4 linked regions of the Oryctolagus cuniculus genome follow. The protein of the gene in region 4 purifies or fractionates together with the protein of the main gene of each other region. This does not show direct contact. Links are inferred from orthologs where the notes say so. Each region holds a gene or a part of one and is shown on either strand. Other genes may lie near its edges. The genes, in order: FLNA, AIFM1, FLNC and OTUD1.

What was found.
Region 1: the proteins of OTUD1 (region 4) and FLNA purify together in Homo sapiens (affinity purification with mass spectrometry; 3 studies listed by BioGRID and IntAct, with this or other methods). This does not show direct contact. The link is inferred for Oryctolagus cuniculus from reciprocal best matches to the Homo sapiens genes OTUD1 and FLNA.
Region 2: the proteins of OTUD1 (region 4) and AIFM1 purify together in Homo sapiens (affinity purification with mass spectrometry; 3 studies listed by BioGRID, with this or other methods). This does not show direct contact. The link is inferred for Oryctolagus cuniculus from reciprocal best matches to the Homo sapiens genes OTUD1 and AIFM1.
Region 3: the proteins of OTUD1 (region 4) and FLNC purify together in Homo sapiens (affinity purification with mass spectrometry; 3 studies listed by BioGRID and IntAct, with this or other methods). This does not show direct contact. The link is inferred for Oryctolagus cuniculus from reciprocal best matches to the Homo sapiens genes OTUD1 and FLNC.

What each region holds. Positions count from the first base shown.
Region 1 is NC_091453.1:132,581,003-132,585,309, reverse strand, and holds part of FLNA (filamin-A), read left to right. Parts: intron 1-1,141; coding exon 1,142-1,389; intron 1,390-1,501; coding exon 1,502-1,597; intron 1,598-1,756; coding exon 1,757-1,859; intron 1,860-1,962; coding exon 1,963-2,103; intron 2,104-2,209; coding exon 2,210-2,338; intron 2,339-2,533; coding exon 2,534-2,707; intron 2,708-2,794; coding exon 2,795-2,956; intron 2,957-3,057; coding exon 3,058-3,261; intron 3,262-3,342; coding exon 3,343-3,495; intron 3,496-3,590; coding exon 3,591-3,713; intron 3,714-3,799; coding exon 3,800-4,066; intron 4,067-4,213; coding exon 4,214-4,307. UniProt on the Homo sapiens protein: Promotes orthogonal branching of actin filaments and links actin filaments to membrane glycoproteins. Anchors various transmembrane proteins to the actin cytoskeleton and serves as a scaffold for a wide range of cytoplasmic signaling proteins.
Region 2 is NC_091453.1:107,806,018-107,809,774, reverse strand, and holds the end of AIFM1 (apoptosis-inducing factor 1, mitochondrial), read left to right. Parts: intron 1-380; coding exon 381-505; intron 506-2,279; coding exon 2,280-2,476; intron 2,477-2,786; coding exon 2,787-2,858; 3' UTR 2,859-3,065; downstream 3,066-3,757. UniProt on the Homo sapiens protein: Functions both as NADH oxidoreductase and as regulator of apoptosis.
Region 3 is NC_091434.1:165,040,229-165,044,535, reverse strand, and holds part of FLNC (filamin-C), read right to left. Parts: intron 4,184-4,307; coding exon 3,586-4,183; intron 3,132-3,585; coding exon 2,958-3,131; intron 2,880-2,957; coding exon 2,717-2,879; intron 2,533-2,716; coding exon 2,372-2,532; intron 2,068-2,371; coding exon 1,900-2,067; intron 1,821-1,899; coding exon 1,697-1,820; intron 1,546-1,696; coding exon 1,389-1,545; intron 1,300-1,388; coding exon 1,110-1,299; intron 951-1,109; coding exon 927-950; intron 811-926; coding exon 563-810; intron 266-562; coding exon 167-265; intron 1-166.
Region 4 is NC_091444.1:105,924,628-105,929,414, reverse strand, and holds OTUD1 (OTU domain-containing protein 1), read left to right. Parts: upstream 1-1,642; 5' UTR 1,643-1,880; coding exon 1,881-3,152; 3' UTR 3,153-4,301; downstream 4,302-4,787. UniProt on the Homo sapiens protein: Deubiquitinating enzyme that specifically hydrolyzes 'Lys-63'-linked polyubiquitin to monoubiquitin.

The sequences.
Region 1 (4,307 bases), on a different chromosome or scaffold from region 4:
AGAATAGAGTAGCTAAGACCTGCTGATGGGCTGGGAAAGGTGGGAATCGGGGGTAGTTGTGAGGCTGGAGCCCTAGCCATGAGCTGGGTGGTGTGGGGTGCAGGTGAGTGAGGCCTCCCAGGGCAGCAGATAGCCAGCTGTAGAGCCCAGGAGACCCACCTGGGCTGTGGTCAGTCAGCATAGTGCCTAAGCAGGGGGAAGAACCCTTGGCCAGTAGGGGGACTTGGTGGCAGACTGGCCAGGGGTGCCCCCTGAACTTGACCCTCAAGCAAGTTTGGTGCTCCTGGCTGCTTCCTTGGCAGGAGGCCAGGCTACAGGGGTGCTCTCGCTGCCAGGCCTCACAGCCCACAGCTCCCCAAGCCTCCACAGCTGAGCCCCAGATCATAACGTCACTGTACCTCCCCTTTCCTCGGGCACTCTGGGGCCCTAGAGGCTATTCAGCTTCTCTGCCCTTGCAACCCAGTGGTGGTGGCTGTGGCTTGGGCCTCCTGTCCCTGTCCCCCTGGGTGCTGCCACTGCTCTGCCAAACCTGCTGTGCTGCACTGCCTGGGTGCTAACCTGGCTGCCTCCCGCCTCCCTGCTCCCGCCTGCGCCGGGCTGCCTCTCACAGTGAGCCGCTGGTTGAGCGAGCATTCTCAGTTGTCAGGAGACTCCAGTTTCACCTCCAGGCCTGGAGGGGGGTAGGAAGGCAAGTGTCACGTCCCCCCACGCTGCAGCAGGACTCTGCCTCACCGCGTCCACACAGCACTGGGGGCCAGGGCTGGGCCACAGGGGGTCCAGGCAGCCGTGGGCCTGGCTAGAGCGCTGCTGTTTGTCAGCACGGGCCACGATGCCAGTGAGGCCAAGTGGGGCAAGGGAGGGAGGTGGCGGTAGATGCTCATGCCGAGATGGGCCCTTCCTTCTCTTCCTGGGCACCCGAGTGCCCCCGGTCAGGCCTCTCAGGTGTCAGGGCTTGAGGTGGTCAGGAGAAGCCTTCCTGTCTTCTGAGAAAGCACTCGCCATCCCAGCTGAGGGTGGGGCGGGAGGCCTGGCTGTGCTTGGTGGTGGCGTTGAGGCCTGGGGGGCAGCCGGAAGACAGGAGCAGCCCAAGCGCAGAGCTCACGTGCTGGCCTCCCTTCGGGGACCTGCCCTGCCCTATCAGGTGCTGGCATCGGCCCCACCATCCAGATCGGGGAGGAGACGGTGATCACCGTGGACACAAAAGCGGCAGGCAAAGGCAAAGTGACCTGCACGGTGTGCACCCCTGATGGCTCAGAGGTGGACGTGGATGTGGTTGAGAACGAGGACGGCACCTTTGACATCTTCTACACAGCCCCGCAGCCAGGCAAATATGTAATCTGTGTGCGCTTTGGTGGCGAACATGTGCCCAACAGCCCCTTCCAAGTGACGGTAAGGAGGGCCCGGGGGCAGGATGCAGGGGGCTCTTGACAGGTCCAGCCTGGCCCGTCCCCCAGGGCCCCGCTGCGACAACAGACTCTCCAGCTCCCGCTCTGCTCCACAGGCTCTGGCTGGGGAACAGCCCGCGGCACAGCCCCCGTTACGGCCTCAGCAGCTGGCCCCACAGTACACCTATGCCCAGGGTGGCCAGCAGACCTGGGTACGGCAGGGCTCACCACCTCGCGGATCGCCCGGCCCAAAGAGATGTTCAGGGCTGGTGGGCAGGGAGTCCCATGGGCCCCGGCCGCTCTGCCACCTGCGAGGAGGGACCCCCACGTGCCCCCACAGCCACTTACCTGGGCCCCGTGTCTCCATGCAGGCCCCAGAGAGGCCCCTGGTGGGTGTCAACGGGCTGGACGTGACCAGCCTGAGGCCCTTTGACCTCGTCATCCCCTTCACCATCAAGAAGGGCGAGATCACCGGTGAGCATGAGGCGGGAAGGAGCGCGGGAGCCCGGGCGGCCGGGGCGAGCCACTGGGCGGCCCTGACCCAGCTCCGCTGCCCCACTGCCCTGCTGCCCCGCAGGGGAGGTCCGCATGCCCTCAGGCAAGGTGGCACAGCCCTCCATCACTGACAACAAGGACGGCACCGTGACCGTGCGCTATGCGCCCAGCGAGGCTGGCCTGCACGAGATGGACATCCGCTACGACAACATGCACATCCCAGGTGGGCCACCCTGCCTCTGGCCGGCCGCTGCCACCGCCATCTCGCAGAGAGGTGGGGGTGGAGGCACATGAGGCTGCCGTTTGACACGGCCCCCTTCCCGCCTCAGGGAGCCCCCTGCAGTTCTACGTGGATTACGTCAACTGCGGCCACGTCACTGCCTACGGGCCCGGCCTCAGTCACGGAGTGGTCAACAAGCCCGCCACGTTCACCGTCAACACCAAAGACGCGGGAGAAGGTGAGCGGCGCGTGCTGGGCATCCGGGACCTCCCCACTGGGGCGGCTGAGGGCTGAACGTGGGCGGGGTCCCTAACGGGGTAGCCCCGCCTGCCGGCCCCCGCCCCGCCCCGCCCCACCAGCGGGGCTCCTCCTCAGCAGGCGTGGCGGCGTGTCCCCGGGCACGGTGCCCACCCTCACCCGCACCTCTGGCCAGGGGGCTTGTCGCTGGCCATCGAGGGGCCTTCCAAAGCGGAAATCAGCTGTACGGACAACCAGGACGGGACGTGCAGCGTCTCCTACCTGCCCGTGCTGCCCGGCGACTACAGCATCCTGGTCAAGTACAACGAGCAGCACATCCCAGGCAGCCCCTTCACCGCCAGGGTCACAGGTGGGTGGCACTGGGAGCGGGGGTGGGCGTGCTCTCCCCTTGCAGCCCGACGCAGTGACGGATGGCCGCCCCCCGCCGCCCCCGCAGGTGACGACTCCATGCGGATGTCCCACCTGAAGGTGGGCTCTGCGGCCGACATCCCCATCAACATCTCGGAGACGGACCTCAGCCTGTTGACGGCCACCGTGGTGCCGCCCTCGGGCAGGGAGGAGCCCTGCCTGCTGAAGCGGCTGCGGAACGGCCACGTGGGTGAGAGGCTGAGGGGACTGCGGAGGAAGAGCGGCTGTGTGGGCGGGCGTGGGTGGGGGTGTCCGCGCCCGCCCCCGCTGACAGCCCCGCCCCGTGCCCAGGGATCTCATTCGTGCCCAAGGAGACAGGGGAGCACCTGGTGCACGTGAAGAAGAACGGGCAGCACGTGGCAAGCAGCCCCATCCCGGTGGTGATCAGCCAGTCGGAGATCGGGGATGCCAGCCGCGTGCGCGTGTCCGGCCAGGGCCTCCACGAGGGCCGCACCTTTGAGCCCGCGGAGTTTATCATCGACACTCGAGACGCAGGTAGGTGGCGGAGGCGGGCCCGCGGGGGCGGGGGACGTGGGTGGCGCTGGGCAGCCTGGCTCAGGGCTGTCCATCGCCCAGGCTACGGGGGGCTCAGCCTGTCCATCGAGGGTCCCAGCAAGGTGGACATCAACACGGAAGACCTGGAAGACGGCACGTGTAGGGTCACCTACTGCCCCACGGAACCCGGCAATTACATCATCAACATCAAGTTCGCTGACCAGCATGTGCCTGGTAGGTGTGGTGACAGTGCAGCCCCGCCCTCCCCCCAGCCCTACCGCACCCGGGTGTAACCCGCGCGGGGCATGGGCCGCACTCTCTCCCTGCAGGCAGCCCCTTCTCCGTGAAAGTGACAGGCGAGGGCCGGGTGAAAGAGAGCATCACACGCAGGCGGCGGGCCCCCTCGGTGGCCAACGTTGGCAGTCACTGCGACCTCAGCCTCAAGATCCCTGGTAGGGGCTGTGGGGAGCCAGGGAGGGCTGCTGGGAGCAGGTGGGGGCACAGACCTCCTACCCACCGGGCCACCTCCTCCCTGCAGAAATCAGCATCCAGGACATGACCGCACAGGTGACCAGCCCCTCGGGCAAGAGCCACGAGGCCGAGATCGTGGAAGGCGAGAACCACACCTACTGTATCCGCTTTGTGCCTGCTGAGATGGGCACGCACACAGTCAGTGTCAAGTACAAGGGCCAGCACGTGCCTGGAAGCCCCTTCCAGTTCACCGTGGGGCCCCTGGGGGAAGGAGGAGCCCACAAGGTTCGTGCTGGGGGCCCTGGCCTGGAGAGGGCTGAAGCCGGAGTGCCAGGTAGGCCCGCTTGCCCACCCAGCTCTTGCTCTTCTGGGTGCCCGGGGGCAGTGGGGGGGAGGCTGCCGGCAGCCACGCCATCGGGGCCATGGCGAGGGGCTGAGGGCAGAGGCGCAACCCTCCAGGAGGAAATACCGCTCTCCACAGCCGAATTCAGCATCTGGACCAGGGAAGCTGGCGCCGGGGGCCTGGCCATCGCCGTCGAGGGCCCCAGCAAGGCCGAGATCTCCTTTGAGGACCG
Region 2 (3,757 bases), on a different chromosome or scaffold from region 4:
GAACTGCACCGATCTGAAGCCAGGAGCTTCCTCCAGGTCTCCCACGCGAGTGCAGGGCCCAAGGAGTTGGGCCATCTTCTACTGCTTTCCCAGGCCATAGCAGAGAGCTGGATGGGAAGTGGAACAGCCAGGACTCGAGCCAGTGTCCATATGGGATGCCAGCACTGCAGGTGTTGGCTTTACCTGCTATGCTACAGCGCCGGCCACAGTGGCTTCTTAAGGAAAAATAAAAGCAGCCTGGGATAATGGTGCCTCTCATGGTTGTCCCCAGATGCCCTCCCAGTGACAGATCAGCTTGGCATTTCTCTTATTGTCACACAGCCTAAGTCCCTGAGCCCGTGCGAGAGTGACAGGACACCCTCTTCTCTCTCCTTCCTTAGGAGTGACTTGGGCCCCGATGTTGGCTATGAAGCTATCGGGCTTGTGGACAGCAGTTTGCCCACAGTTGGGGTTTTTGCAAAAGCAACTGCACAAGACAGCCCAAAGTCTGCCACGGAGCAGTCAGGTAAGGAAGCCCAACCACTTCGCTTGGAAAGAGTGTCGAGCAGCAGTGGTCCAGGTTCTCCTGAACAAGGGGTTCCTGTGTGGCCAGAGGGGGCTGCCAGTGAAAGCCTCTCTTCATGGTGTGCTTGACAAGAAACCAGACCCAAAGTCCTCACTCTTTAGTGGGCTGTGATCTGGCAAAAGCATGCATCCCGCTCAAAGCACAGACTGAAATAGTGTGGGTGGCGGGCAGCGGCGGCTCAGCCACCCCGTTGTCTCAGTTGTCTCTGGGGCCTGGCAAGACCCATGTGATGAAGAAAGCCTGACTTTGCAGGTTTGGGTTTTGCTTTTCTTGACTTCGTGCTAATCTCCAGAAGCAGGCTTGGGAACCTTAGCCTCGGACCTGCCGTCCTCCACGGCTCCTGGGCAGTGAACTGAGTAGGACTGAGTAGGCCTGGAGCCCATTTCTGTTCATCAGATCTGAATGCCAGATTGCCTTTAGACAGGAGGCACCTCTCTTGGAATGGACTTCTCTCCCACACACGTCTCTTTCATTAACTCCCAGGCCTTATTCCACGACCTTGGCTCAAGTTCTTTAACCTCTGTATCTTCTTGCCAAAGGTGTTTCAAGGGCAAGTTGCTCTTTAAGAAGCAGAAAACGAAACATTATTTGGATGTTTAGGTCCCTTTCCTGTGTGACTCAAATGTATTCCATGCCTCTTAATTCTGGGCAGTCCTGGTACGTGGGTCCAGGAGAGAGGGCCACGTGCTTTATAGATACCAGGTCACTCACTGCTCTGTCCACTGGGCAGTGTCACTTAGAGCCTGCTGGTTCTCAGAAGACAAGATTCCCCCTTCCCAGGGTGCCATCTCCCTCCTTCCCTTACCCCTCCCCCTCTAGGAAGAAACGCCCCCGCTCTGGTTTTTCCATATGGAAGTGCCTTCTGCTTAGAGTGTCTGCTTAGCAGTGCCATCCAATAGAACCTTTTGCTATGATGGAAATGTTCTGGCTCTGCTCTCTCCACTTGGGGCTACTGAGTGCCTGAAACGTGGTGAGTGCAAACAAGTAACTCGAGCTGACATTTTACTTAACTTGAAATAATTTTCATTTAAATAGCTGTATGTGGCTTGTGGCTAATGAACAAGGCCATGCAGCTCTACAACGTTTCAGATGACAAAAACAAGAGCTCTGCAGTTTGAAGAAAATCAGACACAAGGAAACATGCACCGCATAAGTGGAGGCTGAGGGGCTGGTGTTGCGGCACAGTGGGTAAGCTGCTGCCTGCGGTGCCAGCAGCCCATTTTGGAGCACTGATTCCAGGCCTAGCTGCTCCACTTCCGATCCGGCTCCCTGCTAACACACCTAGGGAAACAGCGAATGATGGCCCAGGTACTTGGGCCCCTGCTAACCACATGGGAGACCCAGATGGAGTCCCAGGTTTCTAGCTTTAACCTAGCCCAGCCCCAGCTGTTATGGCCATGTAGGGAGTGAATCAGTGAATGAAAGATCCCCCCCCCCTTCAAATAAATGCATCTTTTAAAATATTTTAAATGAGATAGGAAGGGAAGGGAATTTGGGGTCAGGACTGGTCCAGTGCCCAAGAGCTGGCAAGAAAGAATTTTTCTTGGCTTCATCAGTAGAGAGGGGCTGAAGATGGCCAGAGTCCACCAAAAAAGCATACAAAAATCACCTAGAAGCAGCTTGAAGCAAGCCTTGGAAAAAAAAACTTGCCTTCTAGAATGTCATAAGGACTGAAGTTTTGACTGTGTATATGTGTTTTGTGTATTGGCCACAGGAACAGGTATCCGATCGGAGAGTGAGACAGAGCTGGAGGCCTCAGAAATCACGATTCCTCCCAGCACCCCTGGTGTCCCACAGGCCCCAGCCCAGGGGGAGGACTATGGCAAAGGTGTCATCTTCTACCTCAGGGACAAAGTGGTGGTGGGGATCGTGCTGTGGAACATCTTTAACCGAATGCCAATAGCAAGGAAGGTAGGTACCTGCCAGAGCACTTGGAGGCAGATGGGAAGTTGGGGCTAGAATGCACTCCTGTGGCTTCACCGGGTGCCCTGAGCTGCATCATCACCCCGGTGCAATGGTGCCCAAGCAGAACAAAGCTGTAGCCTGGGTTCAGGAGTGTTTCCTTTTTGCCCTGGGATGGAGCTGGGTGCGCTGTGAATTGGCACACTGGTCATTTTGAGCTAGTAGAATGCTGTTCCCACAACTCCCTCCCAGTGTGATATGGGCCCAGCCTGAACATGGCTGGGGTGAGTTCGGGACCTGTGCTTACTCTCTCCTTCAGATCATTAAGGATGGCGAGCAACACGAAGACCTCAATGAAGTAGCCAAACTGTTCAACATCCACGAAGACTGAAGCCCTGTAATGGAGTAGGCCAGCACGTCTTCCTCCCCGACTGTGGCTTGGATGGGCAAAGGAGCGGGGTTTTTTTAATTATTATTATTATTCAGCAAACTTTCTCTGGTGTAGAAGTGTGAATGATCAATTCCCTTGGGAATATTTTCAGCCACATAGGCAAATTCTTAATGTTCACATCATGAAATAAAATCTGATTCTTCTAAATTCCATTCTGTTCTCTTGTAAAGGGGGCAGGTGAGTGAAGGGGGAAAGCTGTGCATACGACACAAAAGCAAGCACTTTGCAGCTACTCCACACTCAGAACTCCTTTCAGCTCCCCCAGTCCCCTCCCTCTCCAGACCCCCCTCTGCGTGCACCTGCGGTGGCTTCTGCCCACAACACTTAACCCTGTCCTCTCAGAGGTTCTGTCTGAACACTCTCCTGGCCCTTCAAGCCTGATCCTTGTTTGTCTCTCTGCTAGCCCGTGGCTTCCTGGAAGCAGGAACTATGCCTTAAGGTCTCAGCCATGGTTCTATCTCTGGAGCTTAGCCCAGGGTCTGGCTCCTAGTAGGTGCTTAGTAAATTGTTGCTGAATAAGTGAAGAAATAAACATCCAATCAAGAGATTGGATGTTTACATGGAGCAGCACCTCCAGAGCTGAATGACTCCTAACTGGGGGATGAAAGGAGGTTTCCTCTTGGGTCTCATGGTCTCTGGATTCCTCTATCCACTGTGCCCCAAACTACTGACCTGCCCTCTTGAGCTCCTTTTCTCTAAACCATGCTTATAGGCATCCCTCCCTCTGCACATGATTTCTTGGGGGAGACAGAATTCCCTAAGCTCATTTGTTGGCATTTTAAATTACTAAACTTTTAAAAATCAGATCTTACTTCAATTAAGAGGAAATTTTTACTACT
Region 3 (4,307 bases), on a different chromosome or scaffold from region 4:
GAACAGCCTGCAGGAAAGGTGCAGCCAGCTACAGGAGAGGGGGTGCCATGTCCAGCCTGACTCCTGCCTGTTCCCCAAGAGACCCCCACACCAAGCCCCAGCCTGCGGAGAGACAGGAGGAAGAAACGAAGGAAGGGCAGGAGAAGGAGGCGAGGTGCGCCAGTACCCAGTGTGGGGGGCAGGTGCCGGGCCGGGGAGGGGCGCAGGGCTGGCGCAGCTGCAGCACCTCGGAGGGCTCCTCCACCTGAGGCAGGGGATCACACGCCTGGAGAGGCAAGGCACGGGGGGCACAGGATGCGGCCGACTCAGCGCGGCCCTGGGTGGGTACCCCAGCTGCTCCGCCCTCTGGAGGGCCTCCCCCTCCTGCAGGGCTGCCCCTGGGGACAGTGGGACTGAGGGTCAGACAGTTCTGTCACAAAGCTGATGGCCTGGGCTACACTCAGCGCCCCCTATGGGACGCTGTGGGGAATTCAGGGAGCACTGGGGGCCCTGGGACCCAGCAGGGATCTCTTGGTCCCTCCCCTCCGGCCACGCCCAGCTCTGCGGCCTCCCCGGAACTTACCAGCACGTGGAAGGGGCTGTTGGGGATGTGCTCGCCCCCGAAGCGGATGGTGATGACGTACTTGCCCGGCTCGGGCGCTGTGTAGTAGATGTCGAAGGTGCCGTCGTGGTTCTCGACCACGTCCACGTCGAGCTCTGCCCCGTCCGGGGTGGACACCGTGCATGTCACCTTCCCCTTGCCCGCTGCCTTGGCGTCCACCGTGATCACGGTCTCCTCCCCGATCTGGATGCGGGGGCCCAGACAGGCACCTGCCACGCAGCAGAGCCGGGTCAGGGGCTGTGGGTCCCCAGGCCCAGCTCGGCCCCTTCCCAGCTGCCCTCTAGCACCTCAGCCCCTAGCAAGAAGAGGAGAGGAAGGGACTCACCCAGGCCGTGGCCTCCAATGGACACTGGAAATAGAGAAGAGTGTGAGGCCGTGCTGCGCTCAGGTCGGGGGTGGGAAGGGGAGCCAGGGGAGGCGGGGGCGAGGGCCAAGGGTGGGCGCCCTGCATGGCGTTCCCCTGGGGCTGGGTGGTAGGCAGGGCAGGGGCCGTGGGGCGGGTGCTCACCTGTGACGAGGCACTTGCTGGCATCCCCAGTGGGCAGGGCGTGGATGCGGAAGGGGGAGTAGGGAATCTCGTCGCCGCCGTACTTGATGGTGATGGTGTAGCGGCCACTCATGTCGGGCAGGTAGGACACGGTGTACGTGCCGTCCCCGTTGTCCCGGATGTTGGCCTTCTTGGGCTTACCCTCAGGGTCCTGGGGCCGGGTGAGGTGGGGAGGAAGCAGAGGTCAAGTTCTGTCTATGCCCAGAGCCCGGCTAGCAGGTGGACTGGGTGTGGACTCACCAGGATCTGGACGGTGAGCAGCCCCTCACCGGCATCGCGGGCATCTATGGTGAACTCCACAGGCAGGCTGGCTGGGATGCCGGCAGCGTTGAGGCCAGGACCGCTGGCCCGCACCTTGCTGGCGTCATGGGCTGGCAGCACCTTGATCTTGAAGGGGCTGGGGGCGGTGGAAAGGGATGGACTGTGTTGGCTGGGGCATGACGAGGCTCAGGCAGATGGGCAGGGCTGTCCCCACAGCCCAGCAGTGACCCAGCAGAGCCCACCCCAGAGCTCAGCCATAGAGCTGGGAACCCGAGGCTGGTCCTCACCTGCGTGGCACCTCCTGGTCGGCGTACTTGACCGCTACCGTGTAGGGCCCGTCAGTGGCGGGGGTGTAGTGGACAGTGTGGGTGCCATCCCCATTGTCACGCACCTCCACAGGCTCGGCCACACCTGCGCAGGGGGCGCAGGGTCAGCAGGGCCTCCTGGATCCCAGCCCCCCTCCCAGCACCCTACCCCAGACAGTCTGTACCTGTGGGTCCCAGCACAGCCACCTGCAGGGGGGCCCGGCCAGCCTGACTGCAGTCCACGGTGAAGGTCTGGGGGACGCGGGCCCGGACGCCGGCACCCAGTCCTGGCCCTGAGCACTTCACCTTCCCAGGGTCTACCACATCCTTCACCGGCACCCGGAACGGGCTCCCTACAAGGAGGAGGACATCGGCCCTCACCCAGCTGCTGGGGTGGGGCCCCTGACACCCAGGCACCGCACAGGAGGCAGGCAGGTGCCCGCAGCACTCAGGAACTTGCTAAGAAGGCACGAACAAGGATCAGTGAACTTGGCCGCAGACAGAGGCTGGGCAAACCTTGCTTGGCTGGGTCACGGGTAAGAAAGAGGCCTTCCTGAATTAGGGAAATGCTAAAAGTGGAATGTGGCTTAAAAAATAAAACACAGTGTTGACATTGTGGCTGATACGATTAAAAAAAAATGCGGCCCCCCCGCACACCTGGGATGGGCCGCCCCCCGAAGGTGATGTTGACGTCGTAGTCGCCGGCGGTGAAGGGGATGTACTCCACGGTGCAGCTGCCGTCCTTGTTGTCCTTGCAGGACATCTTGGCTTCCGAGGGGCCCTCGATGGCCAGGCCGAGGCCTCCGGTGCCGGCCCCCCTGCAGGAAGAGGGCAGCCTCCCTCAGCTGTGGTGGAGGAGCAGGGGAGGGGGCGGGGCCGCTCTGTGACGCTGAGGGGAGCTTGGCGTGGGGGTGGGGCACCCAGAGAGGGGCGAACAAGGTCAAGTGGCCAGGCTGAGGGCGGTCAGAGGCTCAAGTCAGGCTTGGGCCAAGGGGAAGGTACCTGGTCTCCACCGTGAAGCGGTTGGCCTTGTTGACCAAGCCACCCTCCAGCCCTGGCCCGTAGGCCCGGACCCGGGTGGGGTCACAGCCCTCAGTCACGCCCACGCGGAAGGGGCTCTTGGGCACAGGCACGTCATCATACAGGACCTCCACCAGATGCACACCTGGAGGCGAGCGCCAGAGTCAGCCATGGAGGGTGACTCCCCCCGCCCCGCCCCCGCCGTCCTGAGCGTGCCCCTCACCCTCTTCATAGGCTGTGTACTGCACGCGGTAGGTGCCGTCTCCGTTGTCGGTCAGGTAGGTGTCCGTCTTGGCGCCGGAGGGGTTGAGCACCCGAGCCGTGATGTGGTTGCCGCCTGTGGCCGTCAGGGACCTTGCGTCCACCGTGAACTCAGTGGTCACCTCCCGCAGGACACCTGGACCCCAGGACAGGCGCGCTCAGCGTGGCCCGGGGGCAGCCTGCCCACAGCGGGTCCCCCTCTCTGCAGCCCTGGGAGCTGCGAGCCGTCTCCCACAGCCTCTGCCCTTGCTGCCCTCACTCTGTCCACTCTGGGCATCCCAGAAGGCTGTGGGCCCTTGAGGCAGGCCTGCCCACCCCCTGCTGGTGCCTCCCTAAGATCCCCCATAGATCTCTTGCTGCCCCCTTTCCCCAAAGCTCTCCCTCGGTATTCGCTGGAGCAGGGGGGCGGAGCCTCTCTGGATGAGGGACCCTTAAATTGATGAATGAAGGGATCTCCCCAGAAAAATGCTTTCTCACTCGCTCAGTGGCTTCCCTGGGGTAGCTGGGGCCCCTAAGGACTGGACTGCCTTCACCCAGCCCTCAGCTCTGTTCCTCCCCCGACCCTCCACTCCAGGCTCTCTCTCACTCACCGTGCGGCTCCACACCAGGCCCCGAGACCTTGACACCGCTCGTGTCGACGGCGGGCTGCACGTGGACGCGGGTGGGGAATTTGGGCACAGGGTGGCCCCCATATTTGATGGTGATGGTATAGGTGCCGGGGAAGGCTGGGCTGTAGGTGATGTGGTAGGTGCCGTCAGCATTGTTGTGGATCAGCACCTCAGCCTTGACCCCGGCGTCCGACAGGATCTCGATGGTCAGCTCGGCCTCGCCCGCCTCCGAGCAGTCCACAGTGAAGGTGGCTGCCTCGCCAGCCTTGCCACGCTCCAGGCCTGGCCCACTGGCCCGCACCTTGCTCGGGTCGAACACGGGCCGGATGGTGGCCTTGAAGGGTGAGCCGGGGATGTGGGCCTCGGCAAACAGGATGTTGATGGTGTACTCGCCCGGCTCCGTGGGCAGGTAGCTGACGGCACATGAGCCGTCGCCGTTGTCCTGGCACTCAATCTTGGCCTCGCAGGGGCCCTCCACGGTCAGCCCCAGGCCACCCGTGCCGGCGCCCTTGGTGTCGATGGAGAAGGGGGCAGGGGAGCCTACCAGCCCGCCTGTGAGACCGGGGCCATAAGCACAGACCTAAGGGGAGAAGCAGGTGTCTGGGTTCCTTACTCCAGGTCTCTCCCTATCCCCGTCCCCCACCCCTACCACCATGTGAGCCCCCTGAGCTGCAGCAGCTACAGCAGACCAAGGACACGGCAGG
Region 4 (4,787 bases):
TTGACCTCCAGGGCACGTGGCCTTCGGGCCACCCGCCCCAGGCTTCCTGGCCTGGATGCTCCTCCACGTGGCTGGCTCCCGGTGCTCGGTATGAACCCAGAGTTCCCTCTGCTACAGGCAGGGCCCTCATGCTCCTATGCATTTCTCTCACTGAATAAAAGCCTAAAACGTATCGTGCTGCCTCGTTCATCTATGCCGGTACTCGGAAGAACCCACGTGGGCTTATTAACATTGGGAGTTTACTAACAAGCACACGGTGATATCACGGCACCCCAGATGGGACTTTTGGGGACTTTTAGGAGGCCATATTCCGGTATCACAGCCATTCCCATCACACACCTGAGCCTCACTTCCCATCATGCACCAGGTGCCACACACCTTCCTAGAGGGTCCTGACTGCTCCAGCCCCACGTGGAGACGCCAGGACACTGTCCAGAGGCCCAAACAAAGGGGCCCAGAGCCTGCCAAACCCTGCTCCACTTGCATACTCACCTATGGCTCCACCACCCCCTCCCCCAGGAAAGTGTGAAGCCAACTGTGGTGGGGGCTGGCACTCACCTGTGAGCGTGTACCCTGCCCTTAAATGAACCCACACCTCCGCCTTCAATTCTTTCAGGCCTGGGACGAGCCCCCAGCAGGCGCCCATTCACCCTCTCCTGAGTTAAGGCACCTGGTGGGCTGAGGTCAGGAGTCCCCGCGAAGAACTCAATTCCGGCGCCTGGGGAGGGCATTTGGGCAGTGATTCAGCTGCAGCCTGGATGCCCGCCATCCACAGCAGAGCCTGGTTCCAGTCCTGGCCCCTCCACTTCCTGTCCAGCATTCCTGCTAACGGGCACGCTGGGATGGCCCAAGGAGCTGGGTCCCTGCCACCCGCGCCTGTGGGGACCTGGACCGAGTGAGTGCCTGGCTTGTGGCTTCGGCCCGGCCCAGCCCTGGCTGCTGTGGACACTTGGGGGGAATGCATCAGCAGATGGGAGGCCCGACTCTCTGCCTTTCAAATACAATGAAAATAAAATCCGAAATGCATTTGCAAGAGTCTGGCTTCTTTGAGAAACCCTGGGAATTCTTTCTTCACTCATCCCTTCAGTCAGTGTTAACACAGCCGCATCAGGTACTCAGCACTGGGGAGAAGGCGAGGGAAGGCATGCCCCTAACCCAGGGCTGCTGCCTGCGTCTCTAACTTCAGAACTCAGGAGAGCAAAGGCGGCCCAGGCGCAGCAGGTGGCGAGCCATGCCTTGCGTTTGCCTGCAGACAGGGGCTACGGGCGCAGACCAGCTGCATTCAGCTACAACCGCAACGCTGGCCCCGAGCAGCTCCCACCCGGCCTACCCAGCGCGGCCCAGCTGCAGCACGCGAGAGCCGAAACGCGCCACGCACCTGGGGAACCCAGGTCGGGCTGCAGGAGACGCGCGCCACTGCGCATGCCCAGGAGCCCCGGCCCCGCCCGCGCCCCGCGCTCCCGCCGGGCCACGCCCTTGACGTCGGGGGAGCGCGGGAGGGCGGGGCGCGGCCGGCGGGGCGGGGCGGGGCGGGGCGAGCCGCGCGCTTGACTGACGGGCCGCTCGTTCCGGCGGCCGCGGCGGCGGTCACGTGACGCGGCGCGCGGCCTGAGGTAAACAATCGCGGCGCCGCCTCCCGGCCGCCGCGCGCCCCGCGCTGCCCGTGGCCGGAGCGCAGCGCCGCGTCGTCCGGACACTGGCCGGCGGCCCGGGCGGGCCGAGCGCGCGCTGTGGCGCAGCAGCCCGTTTGGCCGGAGGCCCCGCGCGCTATTCGCGGGCGCTGACGCGCGCCGAGGCGGCCCGTTTCTATTCCGGGGGCCGCGGTCAGCGCGCTCGGCCGGGCCGCGCCTATTAAGGGCCGCGCGGCGGCGGCCGGGGCCATGCAGCTCTACAGCAGCGTCTGCACCCACTTCCCCGCCGGCGGACCGGGCCCCACGCCCGCCGCGCCCGCCGCGCCCACCGCCGCCGCCTTCAAGGTCTCCCTGCAGCCGCCCGCGCCGCCGGCCAGCGCCGCGCCGGAGCCCGAGACCGGGGAGGACCCGCCCGCCGCGCCCCGGGAAGCCGCCGCCGCCGCCGCCGCCGCGATGCCCGCCTTCTCCTCCTGCTTCGAGGTGGCCGCCGCCGCCGGCCCGGCCGCCGGCCCTCCCGGCGCGTCCTGCAAGCCGCCGCGGCCGCCGCACTACACGTCCACGGCGCAGATCACCGTGCGCGCCCTGGGCGCGGACCGCCTGCTGCTGCACGGCCCCGAGCCGGCCCCAGCCCCGGCCCCGGCCCCGGCCCCGGCCGCCCCGCGCGCCCGCTGCCTGCTGCCCGCCGCGCCGCGCCGCGCCGCCCCGGCCTGGCTGCTGGAGCCCGACGGCGCGGACAGGGACTTCCGACGGAGCGAGCACCAGCAGGCCCTGGCCGCCGGGCAGCGGGGGCCCGCGCCGCCCGCCAGCCCCGAGGAGCCCCGCGCAGCCCCCGGGCGCAGCCCCCGCGGCGACCTCGCGGGGCCTGCCGAGCCCGCCCCGGCCGAGGAGGAGCCGGCGGCGGCGGTGGTGGCGGCCGGGCGGGCCGAGCCCCGCGACGAGAAGCTGGCCCTGTACCTGGCCGAGGTGGACAGGCAGGACAAGTACCTGCGGCAGCGCGACCAGTTCCGCTTCCACATCATCCCCGACGGCAACTGCCTGTACCGGGCCGTGAGCAAGGCGGTGTACGGCGACCAGGCCCTGCACCGCGAGCTGCGCGAGCAGACCGTGCACTACATCGCCGACCACCTGGACCACTTCGGGCCGCTCATCGAGGGCGACGTGGGCGAGTTCCTCGTGGCCGCCGCGCAGGACGGCGCCTGGGCCGGCTACCCCGAGCTGCTGGCCATGGGCCGCATGCTGAACCTCAACATCCACCTGACGACGGGGGGCCGCTGGGAGAGCCCCACCGTGTCCACCATGGTCCACTACCTGGGGCCCGAGGACGCCCTGAGGCCCAGCATCTGGCTCAGCTGGCTCAGCAACGGCCACTACGACGCGGTGTTCGACCGCTGCTACCCCAACCCGGAGTACGAGCGCTGGTGCCGGCAGACGCAGGCGCAGCGGCAGCGCGACGAGGAGCTGGCCAGGTCCATGGCCGTGTCCCTGTCCAAGATGTACATCCAGCAGAACGCGTGCTCGTGAGCCCCCCCCCGGGGGGCGGGGCGGGGGCGGCGGCGGGAGCGCTGACCGGGGTCGCGCCCTGGGCGGTGTCCCCGTAGACGCCCTGCGGCGCGTGCTGCCTTAAGTCTTGTCTCGCGTCCCTCTTCCCTGGCTTGCTCTCCGAGCCGCCGGCTGCTGGGCACCTGCGCGATTCCGGAGAGCTCTGGGCGCCCCCGCTGCCTCCTCCTGGCCTGCTGATGCCTCGCCGCGTGGATCTGGTCCCTTCCCGGCACTCTATTTTATATATTAAAAAAAGAAGAAGAAGAAATAATGTATTTTTGCACAACCTTTTTAGAGACTGGCGGCCCGCCCTCGCGGGATGCGACGGGCGGCTTTCGGAAACTGCTTTCCACGACCTTGCTCTCTGGGACAGGCATCCGTGGCGGGTGGGCCTTCTGTCGTGGACGTGGGAGTCTCGCCGTCCTCTCTGATTCCGCGTGGACGCGGATGCGTGCGTGTATCCGGATGCTCCACCCATTCCGTGTTGACAGAGTTGTTGTTACGGAAATCATTATTTTTCTAGAGATGGTCGATTTTTTTTTTTTTTAAGAACCCAAGGGAAGGTGTGGGAAGATTCTGTTTGTTTTCCTTCAGAGGCAGTGCCAGGTCTTACTTGAATTAAAGTCTTGATTTCTGCTGTGGGCGGAGTGCCCGTGATGGCTGCTCTCGGGTGTGTGCAGTGGGTGTCTGCCCTCGTTGCTTTATCTCCAACTGTCACTTTGTTACACGAGGATTTCCACTCCAGTCTGTGACCAGATAAACCTCCTGCTTCCTGGCTTCTTGGATTCAGCTAAAGAGATCTGGAAACCAACGTAAACGCCTGGAGCCAGCCCTGGCAGGAATTTGACGGCAGGAAAATACTGTCTTAATATTGTGTTCAAAAGGCAAAATAGGAGTCCCCTGTGTTCTGTCAAGATGTCTGTGAACAGAGCTTGTGTGGTTTGCTGGGTCAAACGATGTTTCCAACCTACACTCTATCTCATTGCCACTTTACCTATTTTTAGTCCTATTTATTAAGTAATGCAGTTTGTACTTTTTTATTTTGTAACATTTTGTGATTTTTTTGTACAATACTGTATTTGAGCAATTCTCAGCTGATGGAATGAATAAAATGGCATAATTTTACTTTTACGACGTCTCTTTGGATGGAGTGTTCTTTAAGATGACGGTGTGTCTAGGAGCCGTTCGCACAGGTACGCGGGTTTTCTCACGTGTGGGCATGGAACCGACTTGAGAGGTTCTGCAGGTTCTCACGTGAGCAGAATGCTGTCAACGCTAGTGATGGCCAAGGATTAGTCCCAGGTGAGATGTAGCTGAAAGGAGGCGCAACCCAAGAGACTGCCCTCCTTACGTTACGTGTTGATTGGAGTTCCTGTTTGCAGTTGGAGCTGTGCCTGTTGGCTACTGCGAGGGAAGCGCGCGTTCTGTGTGAACCAGCAGTGTCTAAGTCTCGTACGTTTATGTTCCTCTCACCGCCAGCGTAGATCTTTAATGTATTTTTTTTTTTGCATTTTCTCAAAGAATTATTTCAAAGAGTTAGAGAGGTAGAGACAGAGAGAGGTCTTCCATCTGATTCAACCCCCCCAGATGGCTGCAACGGCCAGAGCTGCTTCCGGG